4 linked regions of the Tamandua tetradactyla genome follow. The main gene of each other region encodes a partner of the protein of the gene in region 4 in a complex. Links are inferred from orthologs where the notes say so. Each region holds a gene or a part of one and is shown on either strand. Other genes may lie near its edges.

Evidence for each region.
Region 1: PFDN6 (region 4) and ASDURF share a complex: the UniProt entries of both Homo sapiens proteins name them as parts of the PAQosome complex. The link is inferred for Tamandua tetradactyla from reciprocal best matches to the Homo sapiens genes PFDN6 and ASDURF.
Region 2: PFDN6 (region 4) and PDRG1 share a complex: the UniProt entries of both Homo sapiens proteins name them as parts of the PAQosome complex. The link is inferred for Tamandua tetradactyla from reciprocal best matches to the Homo sapiens genes PFDN6 and PDRG1.
Region 3: PFDN6 (region 4) and DNAAF10 share a complex: the UniProt entries of both Homo sapiens proteins name them as parts of the PAQosome complex. The link is inferred for Tamandua tetradactyla from reciprocal best matches to the Homo sapiens genes PFDN6 and DNAAF10.

What each region holds. Positions count from the first base shown.
Region 1 is NC_135329.1:163,382,138-163,390,253, reverse strand, and holds the start of ASDURF (ASDURF protein), read right to left. Parts: upstream 3,090-8,116; 5' UTR 2,971-3,089; coding exon 2,884-2,970; intron 1,037-2,883; coding exon 983-1,036; intron 1-982.
Region 2 is NC_135327.1:21,176,361-21,184,016, forward strand, and holds the start of PDRG1 (p53 and DNA damage-regulated protein 1), read left to right. Parts: upstream 1-4,533; 5' UTR 4,534-4,660; coding exon 4,661-4,759; intron 4,760-6,095; coding exon 6,096-6,171; intron 6,172-7,220; coding exon 7,221-7,295; intron 7,296-7,656. UniProt on the Homo sapiens protein: May play a role in chaperone-mediated protein folding.
Region 3 is NC_135343.1:41,450,144-41,457,883, forward strand, and holds the start of DNAAF10 (dynein axonemal assembly factor 10), read right to left. Parts: upstream 3,432-7,740; 5' UTR 3,097-3,431; coding exon 2,914-3,096; intron 1-2,913. Other genes in the region: RNA-binding protein PNO1, read left to right, coding at 3,612-3,806, 4,042-4,191. UniProt on the Homo sapiens protein: Key assembly factor specifically required for the stability of axonemal dynein heavy chains in cytoplasm.
Region 4 is NC_135331.1:89,218,938-89,226,234, reverse strand, and holds PFDN6 (prefoldin subunit 6), read right to left. Parts: upstream 2,506-7,297; 5' UTR 2,189-2,505; intron 1,968-2,188; 5' UTR 1,953-1,967; coding exon 1,889-1,952; intron 1,632-1,888; coding exon 1,561-1,631; intron 1,483-1,560; coding exon 1,358-1,482; intron 1,126-1,357; coding exon 996-1,125; 3' UTR 743-995; downstream 1-742. Other genes in the region: WDR46 (WD repeat-containing protein 46), read left to right, coding at 2,649-2,717, 2,835-3,032, 3,142-3,222, 3,360-3,472, 3,595-3,682, 3,837-3,898, 4,167-4,271, 5,008-5,158 and 2 more. UniProt on the Homo sapiens protein: Binds specifically to cytosolic chaperonin (c-CPN) and transfers target proteins to it. Binds to nascent polypeptide chain and promotes folding in an environment in which there are many competing pathways for nonnative proteins.

The sequences.
Region 1 (8,116 bases), on a different chromosome or scaffold from region 4:
TAATATATTAGCAAAATCAACTCAACATTATATTAAAAGAATCATACACTGTAATCAAGTGGGCTTTATGCCACGTATGCAAGGGTGGTCCAGCATAAGAAAATCAGTTATTGTAATAAACCATACTAATGAATAAAGGAAGAAAACCACATGATCATTTCAATTGACATAGACAAGGCATTTGACAAAATACAGTGTACTTTCTTGATAAAAACACTTAGAACACTTAGAAGGAAACTTTCCCAACACGATAAAGGACATAGATGCTGAGTGACATAAGCCAGACACAAAAAACACAAAAGGGCAAATACTGTGTGATCTCACTGTTTTGAAACCATTAGAATAAGCAAACTCATAGAAACTAGAATATAGGTTACCAGGGAATGGCATAGGGATTGGGAATGGGAAATTAGACTTACAAATGTACAGGGTTGAAATGATGGAAATGTTTTGGCAATATATGGCACAACATTGTGAATCACAAGTAACAGCACTGAAATATATATCTGAATATGACTTAAAGAGGAAATGTTAAGATTGTATATATGGTAATAGAATAAAAAATTAAAAACAAAATTCAAGGAACTACACTAACACAGTGAACCATGAGTTAAACCATGGGCTTTAATAAAAATCATAAAAACTATAAATAAATACCATTAATGATTGCAACTACACCATACCAAAGTACAACTAGTATTGTTTGGTCCATATGGGGAAAAGCCATGCTCAATTATTTGATACCTATAAAATTTAACATAAAAAAATAGAGGTATGTAAATACATATTAAAATAATCTTGAACTCTTCATAATTTGAACCATTTTCACTTTTGCAATTTATTAGCTAAAAGCTATTGCACTCTTGCAAATTTTAATATAAATAAGACATATATCATACATTAACAGGAATACAAATAATATAGTTAATTTAAACATAAATAAACCTTCCCATATACTATTCATAATTACCTAATTACTCACCCTGTTCTTCTTCAAGTTAGAAAGTTCATCCACAATAACTTTTTGTTCTTTTATCTATTGAAATAAAGAAAAACTCCTTTAAGCAGAGGTTCACAAAGCATGTTCAATGAGGCTCCTTTACTGACTTTTAAAATTAGAGAGATGGATAAGGGAATATTAAGTATTGACGGTCAAAATCAGTTATCTGCGAATACACAACTTCTATCCAACAGCCTTCTGTGAGGTAGTGGAGTTGGGGTAAAGTTGAAGGAGAAAGTAGCAACTGGACTTGTCAAACCCATTGCACCCAGTCACAGGGTGACTGTGGGGTTGGGTGGGGAGGTCCGAACTGCTACAGTTACTAAACAAAGTTTACGACTACTATTTAAAAAAATATGATACTCACCAGAAATGATATCACTCTTTAAATTAATTATTTTTAAGTTGTGCTTTACCTTCTTAAAATAAAACAGCAAGTGGAATGAGGGTGGACCACTTCTTTTTTTTCAGTTACTAGCACTTTATAATTTATGCACGAATTGATTCCGTCAGACATTCAGAACAAACAAGTAGTACTAAACGCCCTACTGTGGCAATGAGACCTACTCCCAGTGGTGGTTTATCCATCTGTGTATCTGAAAGATTGGACAGTTCAAACTGGCCTTGCTGAACTAGGCTTCTCTTTTATTAGTAGAAGGTTCTACTAAGGGAAAATTTAGTTTTTCCCAACTTTTTTCAGAAACTTATTTTGTCAACATAACTGACTAAAAAGTATCACTAGCACCTCTAAGAGCCCCTTTGACCATCTTTTTTCTTACCTCACACTTGAAGGATCTGCCATGCATCAGTCTAAGTGGCTCACTCTGGTAGTAACATAGTTTGGAAAAGCCACCCCTTCCCAACTTCCCTCCACGTGTGCATCCTTGTGTCTCCAGTCACAGATCTAGTAACTGCCTGGTTAGGTTGAACTCCAAGCCTGAATTCATATTACCTCTTTGAAATGAATACGTATTAACAATACCTTACGTTTGAACACTGAATTTTAGGAATGGCAGGTTACATTTCACTTTACTTCTAACATGGAAATCATGAATCCAGGTGATTAAAGAAGCTTGCTCATTGTTAGAGACAGACCCGCAGTAGAATCTAGGACATTTAGCACCTGAAAAGCTATAGCCACCCCTCTTCCCCATATATTCTTTGAAAATTTTGTTTATGGCACAAAAGCTTTTCGTTTTTTAAAAAAATATATACTGAACTCCCCACCATCCACCATTTTGATGGATGAGTGACAATCAGATATGTATTTTAGGGGTTATTCCGCTGGCTACCAGTGGAGATTTTAAAAGGTATAACGATGGGAAGAAACCGGCTATGAAGCCTTTGTAGGCATCTCTGATGACAGATAATGGTGGCTAATCTGGGTTGGTAACGGTACAGATCTTGAAAGAAATACATAAAATGAGCTTCAGAGGTAGAACAGATGACTTCGTGATGGTTCCCAAGTTACCTGGCATAGACAACGGGGTGGATGTTGGTGACATTTCCTGGGATGGAGATTACTGGAGGCGGATCAGATCTGGGGTGGGCGGTACTTAAAGGAAAGAGAAAACCAAACAAAATATCCACCTCTCTTCCATCTAGCTATAACTCTAGGGCGTGTTTCAGAGTATCCTTTGCCGCAACTGTTTTAAGGAAAGGGAAGGATTAACTGAAGCTGTAAAATGCTATGAATAAAAAGAGCAGAACAGTGGGCAAAGCCGAGGCTGGATGAAATTCCGTGCTGCCCGGTACGGACTAACTAAACGGAACCGGGGGTTTCCGCCTGAGCAAGGCGCCAAAGGTCCGCGACGGACTATTTTCAGGGTTCGGCGGCACCTAGTCCTGAGTTCGGGGGCCTTCTCGTTGCGTCCCACACTGACCTTGCAGCTAAGCTCCTCTTTGTGCGGGGTCGAGGTGTCTGGTACCACTCTAGCACGGTCATCCGGGAACGTCCCCCGGCTGGGCATCTCCACCAAAAGGCCGAGCCTCAAAATGACCAACTCGGCTAGAGCCCCGGCACCCCACCGTCTGAGCGCGTGCGCGATTCAGCGGCTCCACCTCCCCCCTTCCGTTTCCCGTGAACCCCTCCGACGGCGTCTGCGCACTCATCGGAAGGCCTGCGCAGTTCCGTTTGGCCTGGGAGTAGTACTGCGCGTGCGCCCAACTGCGTTGGTACGCGCGAGCCAGCCTGGTTGTGAATCCTGAGAAGTTCCTAGAGGGTCCCCTAGCGGATGGGATGGAGAAACGCGTTTGTGGTCTCTGCTTGCGCCCAGTACACTGCGAGTTATAAGCGTCGCCCAGTGGTAAATATAAAAATAGCAGTGCAGAAGAAATTCATTTACCATTTGTTACCTAATAGGGTAATTGAGGGACAGATATAAGGGTCACAGAATTGACGGTGGAAATGAACAAACTTGATAAAGTTTTTATTAACTTATTAGTAGGGTTACCAGATTAAATATGGAATTCCCAGTTAAATTTGAATCTCAGATAAACGAATAATTTTATGTATATGCCCAATGCAGTATTTCCAGTATTTCATTCCTGCGAGAAAAATTATCCAAAACTTGGAAATAAGCAAATATAAATTACTGAGTGTTCTTTTTGTGCTGTTCCGGGTTTGACGGAACTGCTTAACAATTCTGTAAGGGCAGAGATTAATTTGTAGATTTTTATCCATGAAAGTAACTTGTGCTTGATGGACATAATAGGTTATGATTTATTGTTATGTAAAATAATTAGCTTTGTATATAGCCCTGTAATCTTATTTTAGCATTTCTTTATTAATATATATAGTTTTTCAAATGCTCTTTAAACTTGTTATAACATCTTTTTAGTTTTCTCGTTAACAAATGAGTTAAATAAAACTTTATATCTGTTCATTTTATACTTGCAGGAGGGACAAGATTTTAGTTTCGAAAATTATATTTAACATCGAAAGTTCTCAGTTTCACAGAGATGCCCAAGTGGACTCACTTGATGGAGTCAAATAAAGGGCATCACTCAAGATGTGCGCCTCATGGGTTAAGTCCAGGCATGTCTCTTGTTGGCTTTTAGAGTAAATCCCAAGTGGTTACAGAACCACTTTATGATTTTTTCTTTCTACTTATTTTTAAAATTCTGTTTTTCATTCTCATTTGTGCATGGCTGATAAATTACTCCACATTGACAGCTGGGTTTTGTGGTCTGACAATTTAGTGATAACAGCTGGATGATTGTGATCTGTTCTCTAGTAGAAAAGAGATCACAGAGGATCCAGTTTGTTAGTCTTTTTGTTTAATTTGTCTGTGCAAGCTCAAATTAATTAAGAATTTTGTGCCCACTGGGGAGAAGAACAGTTGTTTGTGATCTGGGCTGGTGAATTTTCATACTTCTTTGTGTTGCTGTGGGGTTTTTTTGTGCCAAAACTTGGTCTGTGTTTATTTTTTTACCCAAGTTTGAGTTTGTAAAGCTGAAGATATAAATTCTCTTTGTGTCTGTGTGTCTAAAATTTAGCAAAACATTATCTCATTTTGTGAATATAAAATGTTTTCCTCTCCTGGGGTAATTGATAATGTCTCAAAGGAGCTCTGTCCTATTGGTTTATAGAAATAAATATGCACTTATGTTAGTCCCCAAAGTAACAGAAAATAAAAAACTGAACTTCTAACACCTTAAATATTTAAGAAGAAAAATGTTCTTGTTACAAAAACTTCCAGGTGGGTGCACGGGTGGTTCGATAGAATACTCACCTTCCGTGCGAAAGACCTGGGTTTAATTCCCAGACCATGCGCACACACACACCCCACTCCACAAAAAAAAAGCTTCCAGGTCAGAAACCTTCAAAGAATCTAAGTTCAAATAATTAAGGTGAATCTTTGGACAAACCAGACTGGTTTAATAATTTTAATTTTGAAAGAAAAAGCAACTACATTTCTTTTCTCTGATTTGTCAATATTAAGTAAAGCACAGATGCATGTTTCAAGAGATTTAGATTTGTTTTCTCATGAAGATGTTAGTTAACTTAAATTTCCTAAACTTCTGATACAGGCCTACTGATCAAATAAACGAGCATTACTCCAATATTATGTTTAAGATTATTAAAAATGTGTACTTATATTTAACTAAAATGAATAAGTCTTCTAACAAACGTTTTTCTATCAACAGCAATTATGTTTTGTACTATGTCAGTTTAAACACGATTTTGAGTTCTTAAGGTAGCTTGAAACTCTGAAATATTATTAAAATGAGTTAATGAGTAATCACTAGATAGTAAGAATTTCAAAAACAGAATACTGAAACATTAATTACTAAGTTAATTTAAAATTTATATACTATTGCTTCTTGTTTTTATGTGCAATAGAGTGGCTTTAGTTTTGGGTCATGTTAATGTTGTGCTCATTTTTGCCATTTTAAGAAGGTGTGTGTGACTACAGACAGTTGTTTTATGTGTATTTATGAGCTTTGCTTGTCTGCTAAAATGCCTGTATAAGGCAGTTCTCAATTATCTACCTTTACCTCTCTCTGTGAAATAGAAGTTATTAAATTGATTAAAAGTTATAATTAATATGGCTGGTTAAGGCTACAACTAGAGCTTAGAGTAACAGAGAATTCAGAGTAATGGGATGAAGTCTTGACTTACAGTGATGAGAGTAGTTTTGCCTAATGTGAAGCATCAGTTTGTTCCAGAATAAGAGCACAGTTGAAAGACAAAATTCGAATGAGCATAAGCAAGTTGGAGAAGGTTTGATGAAAGGAAATTTTATTTGCCTTGATTTGTAATACCTGTCTCTGAGGAAAAACTATGAAATACATTAAATTTTGGAAAAGTCCATTCAATTTTTATTTTTAAAAACCTTTACTGCTAAAAAATAATATTAATGGAAAAAACCCTAAAATCTGGCATTCTCTCTCTTAATCCATCTCCCGATTCTACACCCTAAATTCTTTAGGGTTCATTATGATTAAACTGGGAAGAACCAAGAAATGAACCTTCCTGACACGTGGGATGCCATTTTAACTAGTGTTTTGGAGGTAATGGTGATGCTTATCTGTAAAGCTGAAAAGAATGAGTGTCCTAGTGTATGAGATGAGTTTTCTCTGTACCCCACCTTCCATTGCAATGCTTGGCAGAGCAGGAACTCTGGTTAATGTTTGAATTGACTCTTTGACCCACAATCATGTCAATACCGAGTGACCAGGAACACAGCTATTTGATGTGCAGCTGTTCTAGTCCCCTTTTTGGTGTGAGTTGTTGCTTATGGCGCTGCCTGCTTCTGATGTTTCCATTTATTCACAGAGATGACACAAATCTAATCAAAGTAGTAACAATTATATTAGTATGATGCTAAACTCTTTTTAGAGTGACTTTACATTTTGTTTTATTTTCCCGAGTTTATCTGATTGCTGCTATTTTCTTCTCAGCTACTGTAACTCTTCTATCACATGAAGTCACGCTTTAGGGTTAGTTGGTGTCATTTGTCATGACTGGTTCAGGATTCCTATCCACAGCTCAATACACAACTAGCTAGGCTGTTCTTTCATGTGTCTCTCACTTAGGACCATTGCTGTCATAGGTCCTTCTATTAATTTCATGTTTATTAGTTTTATTTCTACTCTTCCTCTGATGCTACATTTTTAATATATTTAATTCTGTTTAAAAATTTCTCTTGGGCGGGCCGCGGTGGCTCAGCGGGCAAAGTGCTTGCCTGCTATGCCGGAGGACCTCGGTTCGATTCCCGGCCCCAGCCCATGTAACAAAAAACGGAAAAACAAAATACAATAAAACAAGAAAATGTTTAAAAAAAAAAAAAAAAAAAAAAAAAATTTCTCTTGACTATTTTATAAAAGTGACATGTATTAGCCTGACTTCCGAGAGTCTCTGTGAATTAGCCCTCCACCCACTGTTCATCCTTGCTTTCTCATTCTACTCCAACAGAGAAATTTGTCTCTAGCCAAAGGAGATGTGGTATAGAGCAGAGGTTCTCATATGCCAGTCAGTAGGTGAATGCCTTTCTTATTATATAAAATCACCTGAAAGTCTTATTAAATTACATACAAATTTCTCTGTTTTTATCTATGATCTACTGAATCAAAATCTTTGGAGATGGGATCTGATGTCTGCAGCATAGCCTACTGCTTTCCATTTACTATGCAATAAAAATACTTGGGTTTGAATCTTGGTTTCTTTATTTGTCAGCTGTATGACCCTGAGTAAATCACTTAATCATTCAAGACCCAGTTGTCTATCTGTATAATAGGAGTAATAATAGTGCCCACTTCGAAGGACTGTTATGAGGATTAAATGAGTTAATGTTTTTAGGGTGTTTATAACAGTTTCAGGTTCAGAGTAAGCACTATTTAATACATAGTAAATAGATAAATCAGAAGTTCCCCCAGTTGACTTTGACACAGCTTGGTGCATTTCTCGTTGATGACAGGTCCTCAACAACTTCCAGTGATTCTCAACAAGGCTAGTGCTGTACATAGATGATGCTTTGGAAAATAATGTGAAGGCACTTTTGATTGTCACAATGATTGGATGGTCATTTTAATTCTGATGGCATAGTAAACCCATTTAATTCTGGTGGCATAGGCACTGAAACACATTTGAAGAGGGACAGACCAAGCCACGGGTGCTTTTATGAAGCCTAGCCTGTCAGATAAAGGGTAGTCTCAGCAAGCAAGCAGTGTTGAAAATTGTGTGGGGTGGGATTGAGGGTGGGTTCTAGACCCAAACAACAAAAAGTTGAAATCAAGGAAGAGATGATATTGCAATATAAGTAGGTTATTTTCTTCAGGAGTTCTCTCAAGTGACAGAGCCCAGGAAACTGGACTGTTGTTTCTCAGTGGGGTTCTAATATCTTGTAGGTGGACTACAGAGTCTTTATCACATAGGTGTTGGGGGGACGAGGTAGAAACTTAGTCCTGGTAACAAAGTGGGTAAAGCTAGTCTTGGTACCTAAAGGGGAGTAAATGACTCTCCAACTTCTGGGCTAGCACTGGAAAGTAAATCCTTTCTGATTGAAGTAAGATTAGTTCTGAAGTTGGAATATAGAGATCAGTCACTGTTGGTCCTGTAGAAAACATTGCTTTGGGGTTCTTGTGCAGGGCAGGGACTAAGTGAGGCAAGTA
Region 2 (7,656 bases), on a different chromosome or scaffold from region 4:
GCAATGTGCGCGTTTTAGTTCGTCCTCCAGAACAACTACTAAATAACTAGAAACAGTGCAGAACAGCTCCTGGGGCCACATCAGTGACCAGACACACAGCATACCCCAGTCTGGACCAGCTGGACCGGCTGCGAGCCCCCCCAGAACCGTGAGTTCCCCAAGCCGTGGTGGCCGGCACCCCTCCCTCACAGGCTGCTTCCCAGAGGGAAAAGGAAAGAGACTTTACCAGCAGCAGGGGCTGAGCCCAACCAAACACGAATTGTGGCATTAATTAATAAATTCTGACTACTAATAATAGGCCCACAGCTCAGGTGAACCTGGTCAAAGCAGAGGTCGCTCATTTTTGCCCTGGTGCCAAGGGGGCAGGGCTGACCGAAAAAGAAAAAAAAAAAAGGAAACAGAGGTTTTTGTGGCTGTGTATCTACAAAAGCTTGACTGCCTTTGGATATAGCAGCAGGACTTCTCAGGCTGCAACTGCCCCAGCCATAGGCAGAAGTGAGCTCTTTTGGGGGCTTGTCTGGAGCCTGTGCCTTCCCCAGGGGAGGGGTGAAGCCCAACTCAGGTGGAATCCCTCCCTCAAGGAATTCAGACACCAGGGCTTGGTAATTTGAAGCCATTAAAACCAGACTCCAACCTCTCCTCTGTCTCCACCACGTCCCCAGCCAAAGTTAAAGGTACTGCATCATCTAATGGTGGTGGGACCTGCAGGCAGACAAGCATCACATACTGGGCAGGATAAGAAAAACAGAGCCCAGAGACTTCACAGAAAAGTCTTTCAACCTGCTGGGTCTCATCCTCAGGGAAAACCGATGCAGGTGACTCTTTCCTCCTGATAGGAGGCCAGTTTGGTCTGGGAAAATCCACTTGGGGTCTATAATACCTACAAAAACCCTCCTGGGGTAGGGGGGGAGGCACCATACAAGCAGGGCAAGAAACAAGAAAACAAGAACTGAAAAATTCTCCTCTTTTAAACAAAACCTAAGCTAGAGGTCCAGAAAAAGCTGAATTGAATGTCAAAGAACAGAGAGACAACAAATTCATCCAGCAAGAAAACCCTAGGTAAAAGAAGTGAAAGCAATCTCCAGAATAAACTAATTAAGGTAATTAAATGCTTAGATGCCAGCAAAAAATAACAAATCACACTAGGAAAATTGAAGATATGGCCCAGTCAAAGGAACAAACCAACAATTCAAAGGACATACAGGAGCTGACACAATTAATTCAGAATATACGAACAGACATGGAAAACCTCATCAAAAACCAAATCAATGAATTGAGGGAGGATATAAAGAAGGCAAGGAATGAACAAAAAGAAGAAATCAAAAGTCTGAAAAAACAAATCACAGAGCTTATGGGAATGAAAGGCACAGTAGAAGAGATGGAAAAAAAACAATGGAAACCTACAATGGTAGATTTCAAGAGGCAGAACATAGGATTAGTGAACTGGAGGATGGAACATCTGAAATCCGACAAGAAAAAGTAAATATAGGTAAAAAATGGAAAAATATGAGCAGGGACTCAGGGAATTGAAGGGCAATATGAAGCACACAAATATACGTGTTGTGGGTATCCCAGAAGGAGAAAAGAAGGGAAAAGGAGGAGAAAAACTAATGGAGGAAATTATCACTGAAAATTTCCCAACTCTTATGAAAGACTTAAAATTACAGATCCAAGAAGTGCAGCGTACCCCAAAGAGAATAGATCCAAATAGATGTACTCCAAGACACTTACAAATCAGAATGTCAGAGGTCAAAGAGAAAGAGAGAATCTTGAAAGCAGCAAGAGAAAAGCAATCCATCACATACAAGGGAAGCCCAATAAGACTATGCACAGATCTCTCAACAGAAACCATGGAGGTGAGAAGACAGTGGGATGATATATTTTAATTATTAAAAGAGAAAAACTGCCAACCAAGAATTCTATATTCAGAAAAATTGTCCTTCAAAAATGAGGGAGAAATTAAAACATTCTCAGACAAAAAGTCACTGAGAGAATTTGTGACCAAGAGACCAGCTCTGCAAGAAATACTAAAGGGAGCACTAGAGACAGATACGAAGACAGAAGAGAGAGGTGTGGAGAAGAGTGTGGTAAGAAAGACTATGAGTAAAGGTAAAAAGAAGGAAGATTAGATAGGACATATAAATCCAGAAGGCAAAATAGTAGAAGAAAGTACTACCTGTGCAGTAATAACACTAAATGTTAATGGATTAAACTCCCCAATCAAAAGACATAGACTGGCAGAACGGATTAAAAAACAGGACCCATCTATATGCTGTCTCTACTCAAAGGACACGAGGCCAAGGACACAAACAGACATTTACACACCAATGTTTATAGCAGCATTATTAACAATTACCAAGAGATGGAAACAGCCAAAATGTCCATCAACAGACAGGTGGCTAAACAAACTGTGGTATATACATACGATGGAATATTATGCAGCTGTAAGACAGAATAAAGTTATGAAGTATGTAACAACATGGATGCACCTTAAGGACATAATGCTGAGTGTGATTAGCCAGAAACAAAAGGACAAATACTGTATGGTCTCACTGATATGATCTGACATGATGAATAAACTTGGAGAATTTAATTGGTAACAGAGACCATCAGGAGATAGAAATAGGGTAAGATATTGGGTAATTGGAGCTGAAGGGATACAGATTGTGCAACAGGACTGAATGTAAAAACTCAGAAATGGACAGCACAATACTACCTAACTGTAATACAATTATGTTAAAACACTGAATGAAGCTGTATGTGAGAATGATAGAGAGAGGAGGGCTGGGAGCATAAATGAAATCACAAAGAAAGATAGATGATAAAGATTGAGATGGTATAATCTAGGAATGCCTAGAGTGTATAATGATAGTGACTAAATGTACAAATACTAAAAAATGTTTTTGCATGAGGAAGAACAAAGGAATGTCATTACTGCAGTGTGCTGAAAATAGATGGTAATTAATATTTTAAAATTTCAACTTATGTGTGAGACTAAAGCAAAAAATGTTTATTTGGTACAAAATTTATATTTTGACTAGTGCATTTCCTAATATAACTTATGTAGATAGCTTGGTTGAACAACATAAGTACATGGAACCTTGGGTAGGACATGAGATTTTGTTGGTTTGTCTATAGTGATGCCCTGATGAATCCCAGAGTGATTTGATCAGTGAGCGGGAAAGTATTTGCAAAGTCCCCTTTGGGGAATGGTGAGAACAGGGGAAAATTCAATCTCCTCAAGTTGAATTCTTGATATTCTCACAAGCAGTGTGGACAACCAAAGCTATCAGCTGAGCCCCCAGTCTTGGGGTTTGTTCATATGAAACTTAACCCCACAAAGGATAGGTCAAGCCTACTTAAAATTAGGCTTAAGAGTCACCCCCAAGAGAACCTCTTTTGTTGCTCAGATGTGGCCTCTCTCTCCAGCCAACACAACAAGCAAACTCACCACCCTCCCCCTGTCTACATGGGACATGACTCCCAGGGGTGTGGACCTTCCTGGCAACGTGAGACAGAAATCCTGGAATGAGCTGAGACTCAGCATCAAGGGATTGAGAAAAACCCTAGAATGAGCTGAGACCCAGCATCGAGGGATTGGTAAAACCCTCTCCACCAAAAGGGGGAAGAATGAAATGAGACAAAGTGTCAATGGCTGAGAGATTCCAAACAGAACAGAGAAGTTATCCTGGAGGTTGTTCTTCTGCATTAAGTAGATATCACCTTGTTATCCAAGAGGAAATGGAGAGGCTGGCGGGAACCACCTGAAAATGTAGAGCTGTGTTCCAGTAGCCATGTTTCTTGATGATGATTGTATAATGATATAGCTTTCCCAATGTGACTGTGTGATTGTGAAAACCTTGTGTCTGATATCTACCTTGTCGACAGATGAGTAGAACATATGGAATAAAAATAAATAATAAGGGGAACAAATGTTAAAATAAATTTGGTTTGAAATGCTAGTGATCAATGAAAGGGAGGGGTAAGGGGTATGGTATGTATAATTTTTTTTGTTTTTATTTTTCTGTTGTCTTTTTATTTCTTTTTCTGAATTGATGCAAATGTTCTAAGAAATGATCATGATGATGAATATGCAACTATGTGATGATATTGTTAATTACTGATTATATATGTAGAATGGAATGATCACACACACAAAAAAGCCACAATGCCACTCGGGGTTCCTTGGTGTTGCTCAAACAGGAGAAGAATGATTCACGTTTCTCTGAAGCCCTTATCATTGCCTGCCGTAGCATATAATTTTTGTCGGCGGCGTTTCCAAGGAGGATGAAGTTCCATGAGGGAAAGGGCTTCGTTTTGTTCACTGCTCACCCAGAATACCAGTATCTGCCACTAAAGGACGCACTTAAGAAATATCTGAAAAGAGAGAAACGGGGTCAACACCCAGCTGCGAAAGGCACTCAAGGAGCCTACGAGGCGAGCTCCAGCCCCGCCCCCACGTGATGCCCCGCCCCGCACTAGCAAGCGGGCCTACGCGCTGACGCGCGTGCGCAGAAGCGAGCCTGCGCAGGAGCCTGCGCACCGGCGACCCTCCTTTCATTGCGCCTGCGCGCTGGAAGGCCTGTCTGAGGGATCCTTAGGCCGCACATTCCGAACGGAGCCAGAAGGAGTTCACAGCTGCGTTGCTGCGGACCTGGAGATGGCGGGCGCCGTGCTGTCACCGGAGGCGGAGCGGGTGTTGCAGTACCTGGTCGAGGTGGAGGAGCTCGCCGAGGAAGTGATGGCGGACAAGCGGCAGGTGGGAGGCCCGTCCGTGGCGTTGGGACCTGGGGGAGATAATTGGGGCCTGGCGGCGAGCGCCGTATACAGAGCCGTGTGGGGCCGGCATCTAGCTCTACCACGGGTTCGCTGTGAGTTGACCTGGACTGGTGATCTAGGGTGCCCCACACCAGTCAAGGCCTTAAGGAGAGACGAGGAACAGAAGAGAGGCTTGAGTGGCCTTCTGACAAAGGGCCCTGTGGACCTGCTTAGGGAGTTCGTAAGCGGTGGGGGTAGGTCGCAACTGGATTTAGGTTTTAAAAGGAGCCCTCTGGCTGCAGTGAATATAGAATATATGGAATATAGAGGGGCAAAGGTGGAGGCAGGAAGAAGCGAGGGACCATTGCTATGGTCCAGGCAGAGGTGGGTTTGGACCAGAGTGCTGGTGATGGAGAGAAGTGAAAGGGTGGGAAATATAAATTGGAGATGGACTCAGTAGGACAGGATGGTGTTTACATATAGAGGTGAGTGAATGGGAGGCAGGGCCAAAATGACATGAGTCTCTCTCATCTCCCTTTAGAATGATTGGATGGTTGGCCATTATTTACTGAGAAGAGGAAGACTTGGGGAAGAGCCTGATAAATTAAATACTGTATCACCATGTGGATGATAATAGCAGAAGTTAAAGTTTATTAAGGGCCTACTATATATCAGGCACTGTACTAACTAACTCATTTAGTTCCTGGTTCAGTAACCTGTGAGGTTGGTACTTTCACATCTCCGTTTTTCAGAGAAGGAAACAGCACTGGTAGGGAACAGCAGGATTCAAATCCAGGTATTCTGGCTCCAGAGCCAGTGGTCACAAGCAGCCTTCTGTACTGCCTCCTCGCTTCTGTAGCAGCTCTTATGCTGTTACCGTCTCAGTGCCTCCACCCCTGTTGTCCAAGTCTGGCATTGTTGGATTTTTGCATGTTAGGTCAGAGTCAGCTATTAGAGCTTGTTCAAAAGTAGATTCTTGGACCTGCTTCATCCTAGTGTCTAGGAGACAGGTTTGTGCATGAGCATTTTAAACATGTTCCCCTAGTGATTCTGACATACAGTTTGAGAGCTGATGTTCCAGTGGATGGTACAAATTATCCATTTAGTCAGCAGACATTTCCCAGCAACTTCTCAGGGGAAGATATGTGCTTACAGTATTGTCTTTAAGAACCGGGAAGCTGAGTGGGAGAAGAAACATGTTCACACATCAGTATCACACAGGTTGTTGAAAGAAACCAAGGAATGACGTCTTACCATCTCTCTAGCCCCTGGTCTGTTGGGACGTGACAGGGTTGGAACAAGAGGTGGCTAAGTAGCCCCTTGCCCCTGCTTTTTAGATTGTGGACCTGGATACTAAAAGGAATCAGAACCGCGAAGCCCTGAGGGCCCTGCAGAAGGATCTTAGCGTCTCTGGTAAGTTGCAGTTTCCTCATTGTGGTCCTGGAGGTCAGTTCGGTTTTCCTTGTAAGGTCCTTGCCTTATCCATGATAGAGACCAGGCAGGAGGCCACAGACATATGATTCTTCAGCTTTATGGGGAATTAATACAGGCCGTGAGGATAGGGGAGAAAATGTTACAGGGTCTGACACAGACTGGAGCTCGGGATTTCAGCTGCTTTTCTTAGTGACAAGCTGTTGGCTCCTGACTCAGTGATGGCAGACACTCCCAGAAGTGCTGGGAACGTATTAAAATGATGTGGTTCCTGCCTTTGTGCACTAACACGTGAGTAAAACCACATAAAATACACAATAGACAATTGTGAGAAAGTAAAGAAAGGAATTGGACATGGGTTAGATGTTGAGAAAATCCGCAAGGGATTGAGGGTTAAAGAGATTGGGTTAGAGTGGCTGTGGTAGAATAAGCAAGGGGAAAGGGACATGAGATGAGAGACTAGACAGATGGGCGGAGGCCAGCTGTAACGAAGGGTGTTGGGGCCAAGGGAAGAAGTTTGAGTTTTGTTTAAAGTGCAGCAGAAAGTATAAAACCTTCTAGTTGTGCCTCATAAAAGTAAAGTCTAGAGTCCTGCAAGGCCTCACATAGTCCAGCCCCCAAGATCTAACATCATCTCTACACTCCCCCTCACTCATTGACTCCAACCATACTAGACTCCCTGCTGTTCCTGTTCCCTTTGCAGGTTCACTCTTCCCCCGTATGTGTGCAGGGCTCACACCCTCACTTCCTTTGGGTCTCTGGCCAGATATCACATAATCAGTGAGGCCTTCTCAGACCACACAGTATAAGTATCAAGTCCCTTCTCTACTCTGGCATTTCCTATACCTCTTACCCCGCTTCATTTTTTTCTACAGCACTTATAAGAGCCTTTTCTTTTTCCTTCACTATGACATAAGCTATTTGAGGACAAGAATGTTGTCAGGTTCTCCTGTTTTTAGCATGTAAAAAACATGGCAGGTAGTAGGTGCTCAAAAAATACTTGTTGAAGAAATGACCATTTGCCATTTCAGAAGATGTGATGGTTTGCTTCGGGAGTATGTTTATCAAGATGTCTCACCCTCAGACGAAAGAAATGATTGAGAAAGGTAAGATGTCCTGGGGATGGGTCAGGAACATAGCTGCCCTCCTGTCAGTCTTGGTTGTAGCCCAGAATTGAAGAGTCAGGCTCTGGGCAGCTTAATGGGAGGCAGCTGTGTTACAGGTTCAGCCTGATATAGGTTGCCTTTTTAAAAAACTTTTTAAACTTTTCATTTTGAAAAACTTTCAAACTTACAGGAAAATTACAAAATTAACATAAACCCCATACAGAGTACATCATACCACCACCCTCTTAGATTCCCAGATCTCCCTAACATTTTGTCAGATTTGCCATATCATTTTGTCAATTTGTCTACCAATCCATTTTCTGAACACTCAAGTGTAGATAGTATATATCATGCTCCTTGA
Region 3 (7,740 bases), on a different chromosome or scaffold from region 4:
AAAAAGCCCATGATGGATAATTCCCCTGAGAACTATTTTTGTTCTGTCTGTGGGTGGGTATAGCACAGCCTGTCAGTATTTCCTCCCCCACATCCTGGTAGTCGTTAACATTAAAAGGTTTAGTCAACCAAATGCTAACAAGCAGTGAATTCAGTGTTACAGGGGCTAAAAAAAGGCAGCATTTTATTAGTTTATTACTAATTTTTATAGTATAAACATCCATTAGCATGATCCCATCTTTGAGGGCCACCACTAGGCCATATGGTACCTTTGAACCAATCAAAAAAGTTGTCCCTCATAGGCTGATGAAGTTTCACACATTTAGGACTTGATGTTGGGCAAAGGGATGAATTTCAACCCCACTTGGAGAAGCAAACTGCTCACCCATATGTGAAAGCCCTGCTCTCTAGTCCCTATTTACCCTCTTACCAACAAGAAAAGGAAGATGTCAATAAAAGACTGATGGCTTTCTTCACGTTTTTATCTCTTATTCATGGGCCTTTGAGCAAATGATTGGAGGAAGTTCCTCAATAATCAAATCAAGTATGTTTCATACTATATTTATAAAATATTCATTGATCCCAATGGTTTTCACCTCTGGTACTCATTAAAATCCCTTGGGAGGAGCTTAAAAAAGACTGACGTCCAGGCCTCCATCTAGTCTAGATTCACTGAGGCAGAATTTCTAGGAGGGGCGGGGACCAAGGCATGAAAACTTTAAAATACAAAAACCACAGCAACAAAACACGTTCAGGTGGGCCTGATGTGCAGTGAGGGTCGAGAATCACCGAGACTGTATTTCACCCATATTCTTTTCCATTGGACTAACATGCCAAATTCAACGTAAGTTCTTAGCTGTGTTTTTGTTATGTTTTACCATCTTTTGAGCCTCTAGGCTCCTTAGAGGAAGGGGGTCATCTTTCAAATACCTTTGGTCGTTCCTTAGAACTAACTGTGTCTTGGATTAGCAGATTCTCTATGGATAGTTTATGGTAGAAAAAAAGACCTCTAAGGATACAGGTGAAATTTAAAAGTGGCTATTTTTGTGGTTGAGATTGTGGGTAACATTAAATTTCTGCTTAATCCTATCTATATTTTCTAAATATCCTATCACGAACATATTTTACTCTTGTTATAAAGCAAGCTTGCTAAAAAACAAACAAAACAAATTTGCTAGAATTCTCTACAATCTCTACAAAAAAGAAAGAGCGGTATTTCAATCTATGAGTAAGTGTATTTCTGAAATGTGTACAAATTTTCTTATTGAAAAGCAGAAGTCTGCAGATTCTCTGTGGTTCAGCTTCAACTGGCATCTGTTCCTAAAACTTCAGCTTTATGTTTTTCTCTGCTATTCCAATGCTTCCCATTTGTTCAACCCCGAACAATATTTAATAAACCAATATTGGAAATTTCCCAAGTTATATCCTATTTACAGACATACATTCACTCATTCTTTTAACAAATATTTATTGAGTGGCTACCTCTTACAAACCACACTTAAGAAGACACTGACCTTACTCCTTAGGAGCTTACAATCTAGAGATAAAAAGGACAGAACATATATTCCTGGCACACATAAAACGTACTTTAGGAAAACAACAAAAAGGAAAGTTCATTCGTGTGACGCTCAGGAAAAGTTTCCTTTTAAGTCATGTAATCGGAATTGAATGTTACAATAGCAACAGGTGACTGAAGACCAAATGGTAAACAACATAAGCAAAGGTGGAAAAGTACAGGCCATGCCTAGGCATTCTAAATAGACTGCCTGGCTTGAGAAGACAAACTGAACAATAACACAGGCAATTACAGAAATTTAACGTGGATGGAGCCTTATATATCTTCTAATCTAACCTTGCCTATCTAAATTGTGTTCATACTTTAATATAGGTTGAACCCCCATCTCTTCCAAGTATCCATGGAGTTCTCAATCTTTACTGCCTTTGTATAGAACCCTAACCACCTGATTATACCTGATCACTTTTTTCAGGCAATCCAAATCGTCATTTTTTAATTTGCAAAGAGTGATAAAAATTTGTTATCCACCATTATTCTCTAATTCTTTCACTAGTATTCATTACAAAACATATGAATCTGATTTTGCCACATTCTGCTTGATGTCCCATTTCTCTTAAGAGTAAAGGCATAAATCCTTTAAATGGCCTATAAATATTGCAAGGTCTGGTCCCTGCGACCTTCTTTTGCTTCTTAAAACTCTCTCCCACCACTGGGCTTCTGTTTCTTCTGAAAACCTCCTTTTCCACTCCCAGTTTGGCCTATTAACAACTTCTACTTGTCCCAAATCTGTTTTTACTTTCATAAAACCGTTGCATTTTATGCATCTTTGATTATTTAACCGATTATCACCCTCACTAGAAAAGAAACTCCATGAGATCGAGGACCTTGCTAATCACTTGCCGGCGGATACCAGATAATCAATTAATACTTGTTGAAAGAATGAATAGATGTGTTAGGTTGAATGCTTCAACTACTGTAGGCTTCCTGGGGGAAGGGGCCGCTGTGGCTATGCTTGTATGAAAAAGCAATATACTAACAAGGGCTTCGCAACGGACTCTCCAGAACAACTGCCAAATGCCCCTTAAGGCCTCGAACTTATACAAGAATTCCTAACTTCGCTTCCCAGAGGCCTCGCGCTGGACTGCGCCGAGGGTGCTGGAAGAAGGGGCCTGCAGGGCGCGGATGAAATGGCCCGCGGATGAGAATTCAGGACTCGAACGAAAGAATTTTAACACTGAAGCATTCCTCAGTCTGCGGTTAGCTTCGCAAGTCCCGCGCAGCTCGAGCTGTATTTTGGGGGGACGCTGGACGAAGGCTTTAAGCAAAGAGGGATGCAGACCTCAGGATCGGCACTCGCCCCCCAAGGGCAGACCTGGGCAGTCTCCACCCGGCACCCACCTCCCGAAGCAGCTTCAGGTCTCCGTGCTGGATCTCGTACAGCTGAATGACGCCGGTACCCCGTGGGAAGTTGCCCAGCGTCACAAATTTGGCGCTGCAGGGCACCCATTTACAGTCAAACACCGTGTAGTTGAGGCTTTTCTGGATGTGAGAGATGATCTGAGGCTTCTCAAAGGCCGACATGGCCGAGCAGATTTCACTTACAGCAACGGCCACCCCCGACTCTTAAGAAAAAACTAACCTGGCTGGCAGACGCCAAACTTAACTAGTTTGTCCCCCCCCGCTTGCCGTACCTCGCTCCCTAACGTCCTAGGAAGTTGGATTTAGTTATCCAACAAAATGCCAGATGTGCTACCGAGATCACACAAGATTCTCTTTCACCAACGGCATTAACTTGTTTATCGTCGTTACTTACTGACGTTCGCACATATACATATTAGATACTACAAGGTATTTTGGCTGTAGGTTATGCAGCAGTAGTGTGGGCATTAAGAATTAGGCATATTTTAGGATAGGTCCTTCAAAAAAAAATACCGCTTCAGGTCCTCTACGTGGGCCTTCTTAAGGCAGGGGGTGGAGCCTTAGGCCTGGTCGGCAGTGGCTGGATCCTCGGAGGTACGCCTGCGCAGTGGGGCGGCGCACGTGTTTCAACTGGAACAGCCTGCCTGCCCTGCACATATCTGAGGGTGGAAACCAAGATGGAGGCACAGAGCGCTGGGGTGGAGAATGGCTTCACCCAGGTCACCCGCAAGAGTGGCCGGCGGGTGAAGAAACGACAGGCTGAGCAGCTTTCTGTGGCGGAGGACGGCGGGGACCCGGGACGCATGGACACAGAGGAGTCCCGGCCCGCGAAGAGGCCCGTCTTCCCGCCCCTCTCTGGGGACGGGCTCCTGGTACTGGAGGGGGCTGTGGGACTGGAGCGAGGCTGCGGCCAGTGGCCGGTGAAGCCGGTGGCCTGTGGGTGATGTTGAAGCTGCGGGGGCTCTTCTGGTGTGAGAGCTCCTCGTAGAGAAATGACTGCCGAAGTTTAACTCGTTCGGTTAAAAGATTTTTGTGAATCATCTGTCATTTTACAACTCCATTCTCACCCTCCAGACGACTCCTGAGTTGTGTGTTCTTTCATTGTAGGGTGGAAAAGAAGAAACTAGGAAAATTCCAGTACCAGCTAACAGATATACGCCGTTAAAAGAAAACTGGATGAAGATATTTACGCCTGTTGTAGAGCATTTGGGACTTCAGATACGCTTTAATTTGAAATCGAGGAATGTAGAAATCAGGGTAAGGAGAATGTCAATTATTTACAAATAGACTAGGGTTTCTCCTACAGGAATCAAGGATGAATAGACTTTTCTTAATAGAACTTACTTTAAGTGGTTTTCCTCTAGTTTTAATATTTTTATTGAGAAATATCCATACACATATAGGCCAACCGTATTATGCAATATATGATATATAGTTGTGTATTCATTACCATGGTCATTTTTAGAACATTTGCATCACTCCAAAAAAAGAAATAAAAACATAAGATAGCTCCTACATCCTGTACCCCTTACCTCTCCCTCTCTTTGACCCACAGTATTTCAGTGTACCCAGTTTTTACCCTTTAACTACCCGTAGTTGTTTATTTTTATCCTTATTTTTTTACTCATCTGTCCATACCCTGGATAAAAGGAGCGTCACACGCAAGGCTTTTACAATTACACAGTCACATGGTAAAAGTTATGTAGTTATACAGTCTTCTCCAAGAATCAAGGCTACTGAAACACTGTTCAACAATTTCAGATACTTCTCTCTAACCACTTGAATACACCATGAACTAGAAGGGGTATCTGTATAATGCATAAGAATAACCTCCAGGATAACCTCTCAACTCTGCTTGAAATCTCTTAGCCTCTGAGATTTTATTTTGTCTCGTTTCACTCTTCCCCCTTTTGGTCAAGAAGCCTTTCTCATTCTATTGATGCTGGATCCTTGCTCATCCCTGGAAGTCAGGTCCCGTGTTGCCAGGGAGATTTACATCCCTGGGAATTATGTCCCACATAGCGGGGAGGACATTGAGTTCACCTGCCGAATTGACTTAGGTATAATTCTCAGTAGGCTTAGCTTCTCCTTTGCAGAAATAAGCTTCATAGGGGCAAGCCCTAAGATTGAGAGCTCAGCTTATTGAATTATTTGTCTCCACTGCAGAAATTCCCCAGAGGGGGATGTTAAGTATTTCCTGCTTTCTCCCCAATACTTTTTTTTTTTTTTGCATGGGCAGGCACCAGGAATTGAACCCAGGTCTCCAGCTTGTCTATAGGTGAGGACTGTGCCTGCTGAGCCACAGTGGCCTGTTCTGCAAATACTTTTTTATTCTCTGCCCAATTTACTCTGGGATATATCCAGGTATCACACTAACCTGTGCAAACCAGCAAGATCTTCCAACACCCTATTCAAGATTCCATGTAATTATGGTGTTCAAGTAAACTGACCATAAAATTTTAATTAGTTGATATGCTACCCAAAACACAAATTTTGTACCAAATAAAAATCTCTCCCTTTGGTCTCACACAGAGGTTGAAATTTGAAAATATGGGCCATATCATCCTTTACCCAGTATTCTGTTTACCTTAGTCCTATCCAGATCAGCTTCATTCGTATCTCTAGACAAAGTCTGATCTCTTTTTTCACAGTTGCCGAATGGGGTAATGACTTTCATAACTTCAGTGCTCTCTCTCTCAGGTATCACATAAATACCCAGAGTTTCAGGGTATGACCAGGTTATATACAAATAGCTCAGTATCTGAAAATTTAAAAATATCAGTTACAGCTCCGAAATACATGTGACTGCTTTAAGAGTTTACAATCTAGGAACCTTTGCAATAGGCCCCAACCTGATAATCTGTGCTCTCAACTTCAGTTCTCTGTATTTGTTCATCCGTAAGAGTGAGGCATGATAATATTTGCCTTTTTGTTTCTGACATTTTATTTGACATACTGTCCTTAAGATTCATTCACCTAGTTGCATGCCTCACAACTTCATTTCTTCTTGCAGCGCTCAGTAGTCCTCAGTTGTCTGTTGTATATAAACACCACAGTCCATCCTTCCATTCCTCATTTGTTGTATCCTTAGGCCATCTCCATGCATCACAAATGCCGAACACTGCCTCCATAAACACCAGTGTGCAAATGTCCATCCATGTCCCCACACTCAGTTTCTCTAAGATCATATAGCAACCCCACCCCTAGCCTCCTATGAAACCATCACACTGCCCTCCAAAAAAGCTGCACTTCTCAGCTTCCCTACCAGCGGTGAAGAGGTACATTTCTTTGTCCACATTTTCTCTAGCACTTGTTTTTCTCTGTTCATTTTTAAACAATTTTATTTGCACATCATACAATCCAGTCTAAGTAGATAGACATGCCTTTGCCACCATAATCTATATGAAGACATTTCCTTTTTGTTGCCACAGAATCCGTACTCCACCCCTATGCCCCTCACTGTTGACATTTAGTTTTGGCGTAATGCCTTTCTTACATTCAGTGAAAGCTTATTACAGTGTTACCGTTAACTATAGATCGTAGCTTGAATTGATTGTACCTTTTCTTATATATCATCCATTTTCAACCCTTGGCAATGATATTCATTTGTTCTCCCTGATTGTGCATATGTTTTATAGTATTGAATTGAGTTGAGAAAGGGCTGTGAGGAGAGGGTAGTCCTGAGCAAAAATATGTGAATAACATACATTGGTATAAGCAGTCATTTAGGTACTGGATGCATCAGTTTAGGCACTATATAAATGCTGTTTTCTTGGAAATAAAATGTATTCTCTTGAGAATAAATATAAATAAACATATGTTCATTCTATGGTGTCAGTCCAAGAGTTAGGCATTTAAAATTAATTGACTCTGGGCCTCTTTTTCTGGGTACCTATTTTGTATCAGAATTGATGACCAAAATTAATTATATCTTCTTTTTTGAGGATTCTTATGCCTTCATTATGATTAGTATAGACTTGTTCTAGTTTGCTAGCTGCCGGAATGCCATATGCCAGAGACAGGATGGCTTTTAAAAAGGGAAATTTAATAAGTTGCTAGTTTACAGTTCTAAGGCCGAGAAAATGTCCAATTAAAACAAGTCTATAGAATGTCCAGTCAAAGGCATCCAGGGAAAGATACCTTGGTTCAAGAAGGCCAATGAAGTTCAGGGCTTCTCTCTCAGCTGGAAGGGCACATGGTGAACATGGCATCATCTGCTAGCTTTCTCTCCTGGCTTCCTGTTTCATGAAGCTACCCGGGAGGCATTTTCCTTCTTCATCTCCAAAGGTCGTTGGCTGGTGGACTCTCTGCTTCATGGTGCTGCAGCATTCTCTGCTCTTTCTGAATCTCTCATTCTCCAAAATATTTCCTCTTTTATAGGACTCCAGTAAACCAATCAAGACCCACCCAAATGGGTGGAGACATGTCATCCCCTAATCTAGTTTAACAACCATTCTTGACTAAATCACATCATCCAGTGAGATGATCTGATTACAGTTTCAAACATACCATGTTGAATAGAGATTATTCTACCTTTACGAAATGATATTTTGATTAGAACATGGCTTTTCTAGGGGGCATACTTCCTTTCAAATCAGCAGAAGACTCATCTCTCTTGATAGACTATGATGAGGGAACAAAACAGAGAGACACCACTCTAAATAGTTGGTAAAGTTTAAAATGTTGTGAAACTTGACATAATGACTATTTGTTCCCATAGCTGCTCTCAGGTTTTTATTGTTTCTTGCCAACACTTCTTGTGTCCTTATTTCCTTTGCTTTGTTGCTTGGTCTCTTTTTCCTCAAA
Region 4 (7,297 bases):
TTTGAGAAAGATGTTTTCGCCAGTTCTTGCTTGTTGTTCAAACCGGTGATGGGAAGGAGCCCTGAAGCCTCTCACTCCACCGTCTTGATCAGAGTCTCTATCCCTGGTCCTTTTGGTGTGTGTGATCTGGCAGCCGGGGGTGGGATGGGGAGTTGGTTGAACGTAGGAGCCATGGAACAGGAAGGGGCCTGATGTTTTCAATCCCCTTGAAGAACTAAGAGTGAAGTGTTGGTTAAATGGATTCCTCAGAATGGTTTATTCCTCTCCAGCAACATCTCCATTCCCATTCCCTTTATTGCTTTTAAAGTTTTCTTCCTCAGGTATCAGACCCAGGTCAAGTAGTAGTCATCAAATTAAAGCACTCAGTATCAGGAACTCCCTTAGCTATAATTTGTAAAAAAAAAAAAAAAATTGTGGACATTGCACAGCTTAGAGGAATTATAATACTGTAAGGCATTTTGTGCTGGAATTTTAAATTAGCTCAAACTACATTCCAGTAAATTCTGGGAACACAGAGGTTGAAAAGATCTAAAAGAGATGCCAGGGCAATTTAGAGGATGACAAGGGTTCACTAGAAGGAGGGTAACTGCAGTTCACCTTGGGGTCTCAGATTAAGATAACCACGACTTCTTCAACTAAATTGGTATTCCCAACAATAGCTGCATTACAAATGCCATTCCTATGTTTTCAAAACAGTTGTGTCAACCAAGATAAGGGAGAGTTCAGGGTTGTATATACAGACAAAATGCACGTTTGCTTAAGACATTCCTGACTTTAATGACAAAAGGATACCCTGCCACACAGACTCTAGAATCTGGACCTACAGGAGTACTGCAGGTGTTGTACAAGGTGGAAGGGGTGGAAAAACGGATGGAGAGAATCATGACAGAAGTAGATTGTCAGAAAACAGAGCCAGTATTTTCACATTTTATTAGTTACAGTATAGATCCTAGAGCTGCCTCACTCCCTCCCCTCCCCTCCCCCCCACCAAGAGGTCAGGCCTTCTCAGGAGCCCCTGCCTTTGCTGCCTGGGCCCGCTGGAACTCCTGCTGCAGCTGAGCAAGCGTCTCCCTCTGTTGCTCTGACTGCCGCTCAAGGTCTCGGAGTTGGGATTCATATCGTTTACTGAGGGAGACAAAGGAAACTAAGATCAGAAAATGAGAAATTAGTGGGACTTAGTAGCGATGGTGCTGAAGGCAAGAAAGAGATTGGTGGAAAAGCTGAGAACTAGGGGAGGAGCGGGATGAGAAAATTGGACAACTGGGCACCTCTATGGAAAGCTGCTCTACAGTGTTTCCAAAACAACTCTACTCTAATGGTACTGGTTACATTACAGGGAAGTGAAGCAAAGACTCACATTTCAGCGGTAATATAGTCCAGCCTCTTCCCTACTGTGGCTTGGGCCTCCCCGAGCTCTTGTTTGACCAACACAGGACCAAGAAGTTTAAAGACCACGTTGGATCCATCCAGCAGGGCCAGTTCCTGAAGGAGTGGACATATACCATCAGAACCACCGTCAGAACAGGTCCCTCCTCACCCCACAAAATCCCAAGCCCTCACCTCCTTCACGATATTATTTTCTGTCAGCTGTGCCTCAAGTTTCTGTCGCCCTGACATGGACTTACTCAAGTCTGAGGGGTGGGGTGGGAGGAAAGATGTGATTAGAGACATCAAATGTGTTACCCGCCCCCCACAACCAAAATCAGAAGAGAACAGACGAAGTAGACAAGGATGGGAGCCGTGGGTCAGCGGGTGGAGGATAGTAATGAGGTAGGGAAGAGGCTGCACGCGGGGCCCGGTGGGACAGAAGACTTTACCTTCATTATGGCTTTGGGTTGTGGGTGAGTGAAGGGATTGGGGCGGGGCCACACCAACCCTGCTCCCTTACCCTTCTGTAGCTGTTGATATTTCTCCACTTCTCCCTGTAGTTTCTTTTGGATCAGCTCAGCCATAGCTGGGTCGAAGACCTGAGGGGAGCAGGAGAGGGGCACTAGGTTTCACACGCCGAAAGGCACCCGAGCTCCCCTTGCTGGCCTGGTCGGAGGAAACTACAGCACTTTTGAGAGACAGCCCGCCGGGAAACCGCAGTTTCTCCCGGTTGGGATATCGGTTCTACCCAGGCCCCGGGGCAGGGGCTATGGAGAGATGAGAGCCCCAAACCCCTCAGCCCAAGCCCTGCCCTACTCACGTTCTCCCTTCAGTATTACTAAACCCGGAAGTAATTGTGGCAACCCGCGTCAAGAGCGTGCCGGAAGTGGCCTTCTGATTCAAGCCGGGAAATGTAGTCCTGACACGTTTAACGCTAGCGCACTCCTAAAAAGTCCGCACTCGGAAGGATTTGGAAAAGATGGGAAAACAAAGCCTGGAAACCAAACTACACCGTTACTTCGGCTCTGGCCCTGGATTTGGCTCTTTTTCTTTCGCAAGGGCATCATTACTCTGGCAAAAGCCGCTGTTCTGGAAGGCGGTGCCAAGGCCTGCCCCGCCCATCAGGAGAAAGGGCGCCCTCTTTCAACATGGCGCCGAGAGGGCCTCAGACCTGACGCGGCCCTGATTGGGTGAAGGCCAGAGGACTTCCGGGAGTTTCTAAGCCTACAGTGGGACGGCTGAACCGAGTTTGCACGTGGGTCATCAACATTGTGGTCTTGATGGAGACGGCCCCCAAGCCGGGTGGGGATGTTCCGCCCAACAAGAACAAAATTCAGGTCCAGAAGAAGGTAGAGACCCCCTTGGGGCGGGAAGGAAAGTGTTTAATTGCGGGGTGATGGAGGGGATGGAGGGGGCGGGTCGGGGAAGCGGGCAGCGGAGCCTTAGGGCCTCTGATCTGCCGGCAGAAACCTCGGCGATACTGGGAGGGAGAAGACGTGGCTTCGACTACTGCCGGAGTTTCTCCAGGGCCCCCTCGTCGCAAGAAGAGAAAGAGGGATCTCCGCCCCCAGAAGCCAAAGAAGACTCATATTCTAAAGAAGTCTCGGGTCACCAAGAAGCCTCGGGTTCGGAGGAATCCGGAGCCTGAACGGAGCTTGTCTGGGGTGAGACTGAGGCCTGATAGGGTGGCAGGGCAAGGCATCTTGTGCCTTGAGAGTGCGAAGGTTGAGGTCAACTCGAGCTTGTTAGCTAGTCTCCTCCTTTTTACTCCAGGCCCAGGACCCATTCCCAGGCCCTTCTCCCGTCCCTGTGGAAGCGACCCAGAAGTTCCGTCGTATTGACAGATCCAAAAAGGTGAGACTTAGCCGGGGAGTGGGGAGGGGTTGGAGACAGGGAGGTTGGATGGAGGTGGGGCCAGGTGATTCTCCTGTGACCCCCTCCACATGTCCACTATTTTTTTGCCCCCAACCCTTGCTCTCCCAATGATATAGTTACTACATGCTAAATCCAAAACCCGAAACAGACTTGAGGTCGCTGAAGCTGAAGAAGAGGAAGCAAGTGTCAGAGCTGCTCGTTCTGAGCTGCTGCTTGCTGAGGAGCCTGGGTGAGTAGACCCTGATCTGGGCATTCCCAGCCCTTGCTTTATGGGGCTCCTCTTTCTCATTTCTATGTGGGTATGTCCGCTTCATCTTAAGAAGATTTTTTTTGCAATAACCCTTTTTGCAGGTTTCTGGAAGGGGAAGATGGAGAAGACACGGCCAAGATACGTCAGGCTGACATTGTGGAGGCTGTGGACATTGCCAGTGCAGCCAAGGTTAGCCTGAGCCTGGGGCAGGGGCCACAAAACTGATTGGTTGTTCAGAGCAAGAGGGATATGAGAAATAGAAGAGGGAGTTGATGAAATGAGCTAGTTCTCTGTTGACTTTTTATTTTATTTTATTTTATTTTTTAACTCTTCCTCTTTGCAGCACTTTGACTTGAATCTGCGGCAGTTTGGACCCTATAGGCTGAACTACTCTCGAACTGGGAGGTAATGTTGAATTCCAGGGACTCTTGAACTGAGATGTGGTAGTGTCTGCTAAACTGCAGTTGTGCCCACCTCAGCAAACAATCCAGTGTATGTTGGGGTTGTTGATGAAGGGAGGATCCTGTGATTTGCCTAGATATGAGTGGACCCTCTTGAACAACATCTGTCCTCTCACTTGGAGAGGAAGAGCTGGCCTGGGGGCAGACCTCGAATTGTCTGAGTCACAGTGTTTTCCTACACTGACACCCTGCCTGTTCCCCATTTCTAATAGACACTTGGCTTTCGGAGGTCGTCGGGGTCATGTGGCTGCCCTTGACTGGGTGACAAAGAAGCTCATGTGTGAGATCAATGTCATGGAGGCTGTGCGGGACATCCGGTTAGTGACCTCCTATAAGTGCTTATGGGGACTGAGACACCCCATCCCTCTAAAAAGTTTTTTAAAACATTTTTTACTGTAAAATATACAATAATTATAAAAAAAGCCATAATTTTCAAAGCACGTTTTAACTTTGAAGAACAGATTTCAAAGTTTGGTATAGGTTGCAATTCCCCATTTTCAGGTTTTTCCTTCTAGCTGCTTTAAAACACTGGAAGCTAAAATAAATATCATTATAGTGACTCAGCAATCGTACTCATTGTTAAAGCCTATCTTTTCTGTTATAACTCTTTCTCTCCCTTGATCTTTCTCCCAATGTTTAGGGGTATTTGGGCTATGCCCATTCTAACTTTTTCATGTGGGAAGGGGCTGTTGATAATATGGGAGGGGGATGGAACTAGTTGACATTCTGGAAGGCTGACCCCTCTGGGTTTCAGGACTTATCTGGCCTACGAACCCTCTAGTCCTAAGTGTTCTTTAGGGTTAATAGGAATGATGTTTGTTGGGGTATGGCAGACCATGACAATGAGCACTATCTCACTGAGGCTTACATAAGCGTAGCCTCCAGAATAGCCTCTTGACTCCATTTGAACTCTCTTAGCCATTGATGCCTTATTTTGTTAAATTTCTTTTTCCTCTTTTAGTCCAGAAGGCATTGTCAATCCCTCAGTGCCAGAGCCCCATTCCTTTTTTAATGACAGTCTGTGATCTGTTTTCCCACTGAATCACCTATCAGATTTTTGCACTCGGAGGCACTGCTTGCTGTTGCTCAGAACCGCTGGCTTCACATCTATGATAACCAGGGCATCGAGCTCCACTGCATCCGCCGCTGTGACCGCGTCACACGGCTTGAGTTCCTGCCCTTCCACTTCCTACTGGCCACAGCTGTGAGTGGCTGGAGCATAAGAACCGGGTTGGCAGCCCTTGACAGGATCCTGCCCCATTTGGGACTGGGGTTGGGGGAAGACAGAGCGCAATCAGGACCAGTTATTCTTTCTCTCTTTTACAGTCAGAAACAGGGTTTCTGACCTACCTGGATGTGTCAGTGGGGAAGATAGTGGCAGCTTTAAATGCTCGGGCTGGACGGCTTGACATCATGACTCAGAACCCTTACAATGCCATCATTCATCTTGGACACAGCAATGGTCAGTCCGTGGCTTAGCTTTGACTCTGGCTATTCTCACTTGTTTTTCTTCTGTATTTATACTTGACAAGTCCCTTAACTTGTACTTTTACCTTTTTGTCTTGTACTTCTTGGTTTGAGTATCCACTTTTCCTAGATTTAATAACCTCAGCGCCTCACCTGTAACTTTAGCTGTGCTCCTGTGACTTTCAGGTACTGTGTCCTTATGGAGTCCAGCCATGAAGGAACCACTGGCTAAGATTCTTTGTCACCGTGGTGGGGTCCGGGCTGTGACAGTAGATTCTACAGGCACGTAAGTCACTTGTTTGGGGATGAAATACTGGGGTCACAGATGGGGTCATGGGTAAGGAAGTGAATGTGCCTTTTTAGCACAGACCCTGCAGACAGATTGCTTGGGTTTAATTCCTGGTGTTACCACTTGCAGCATGTTACTGCGGGTACAGAAAAGCGAACTTCAGAAAGGGCCAGATGGTAAATATTTTTTTAAAATTTTTTTTATTTTTAATTTAATTTTTTTTTACATGGGCAGGCACCGGGAATTGAACCGGGTCCTCTGGCATGGCAGGCAAGCATTCTTGCCTGCTGAGCCACCGTGACCCACCCCAGATGGTAAATATTTTATGTTTTGTAGGTTAGTAGGCAAAATTGAGAGTAATATGCAGAAATTTAAATAATAAGAAAGAAAAGAAATTGTGACAAATTTTCAAGCAATGGAATACAAGATATGATAATCACTTAACCTTTGTAATACAGGTTGTTTAGTTTGCTAGGTGCTGAAATGCAATTACCAGAAACAGAATGGCTTTTAAAAGGGGGAGTTTAATAAGTTGTTAGTTTACAATTCTAAGGCTGTGGAAATGTCCAAATTAAAGCAAATCTATAAGAATGTCCAAATTAAGGTGCCAAAAAGAGGTTGCCTTCACTCAAGAAAGGCCAATGAAGTTCAGGGTTTCCCTTTCAACTGGAAAGTCACATGGCAAAAATGGTGATGTCTGCTAGCTTTCTCTCCAGGCTTCTTGTTTCATGAAGCTCCCCTAGGGGTGTTTTCCTATATCTCCAGAGGTCTCTGGCTACCTGGGCTCTTGACCTTGTGGCTCTCTCAAGACTCTGTCTCTCTTTCCAAAAGGCTTCCTCTTTTTCCCCCTCATTTTTTTTTTTAATTTGATTATTTGTTTTTTTATTGTTGAGTTGTAAGAATTCTTTATAAATTCTGTATACAAGTCTCTTACCAGATTTACAAATATTTTCTCCCATTCCATGGGTCGTCTTTTTACTTTCTTTTTTTTTAAATTTTTTAAACTTGTTTTTTATTTATGATACATAACCACATACAGACACAAACATTCTTATATGATCATTCAGTTCTTGTTATATAATCAGTAACTCACACTGTCATCACATAGTTGTATAATCATCATCATGATCATTTCTTAGAACATCTGTATCAATTCAGAAAAAGAAATAAAAATAAAACAAAAAAATTAATGCATACCCTACCCCTTATCTCTCCCCTTCACTGATCACCAGCATTTCAATCTGCTAAATTTATTTTAACATTTGTTCCCCCTATTATTTATTTATTTTTAATCCATATGTTTTAATTGTCCATCAATAAGGTAGACAAAAGGAGCATCAGACGCAAGGCTCTCATAACCACACAATCACACTGCGACAGCCATATCATCATGCAATTATCTTCAAGAAACGTGGCCACTAGAGCATAGCTCCACATTTTCAGGCAGTTCCCTCCAGCCTCTCCATTACATCTTGACTAACAAGGTGATATCTATTTAATGCATAAGAATAACCTCCAGGATAACCTCTCGACTCATTTGGAATCTCTCAGCCACTGATACTTTATTTTGTCTCATTTAGCTCTTCT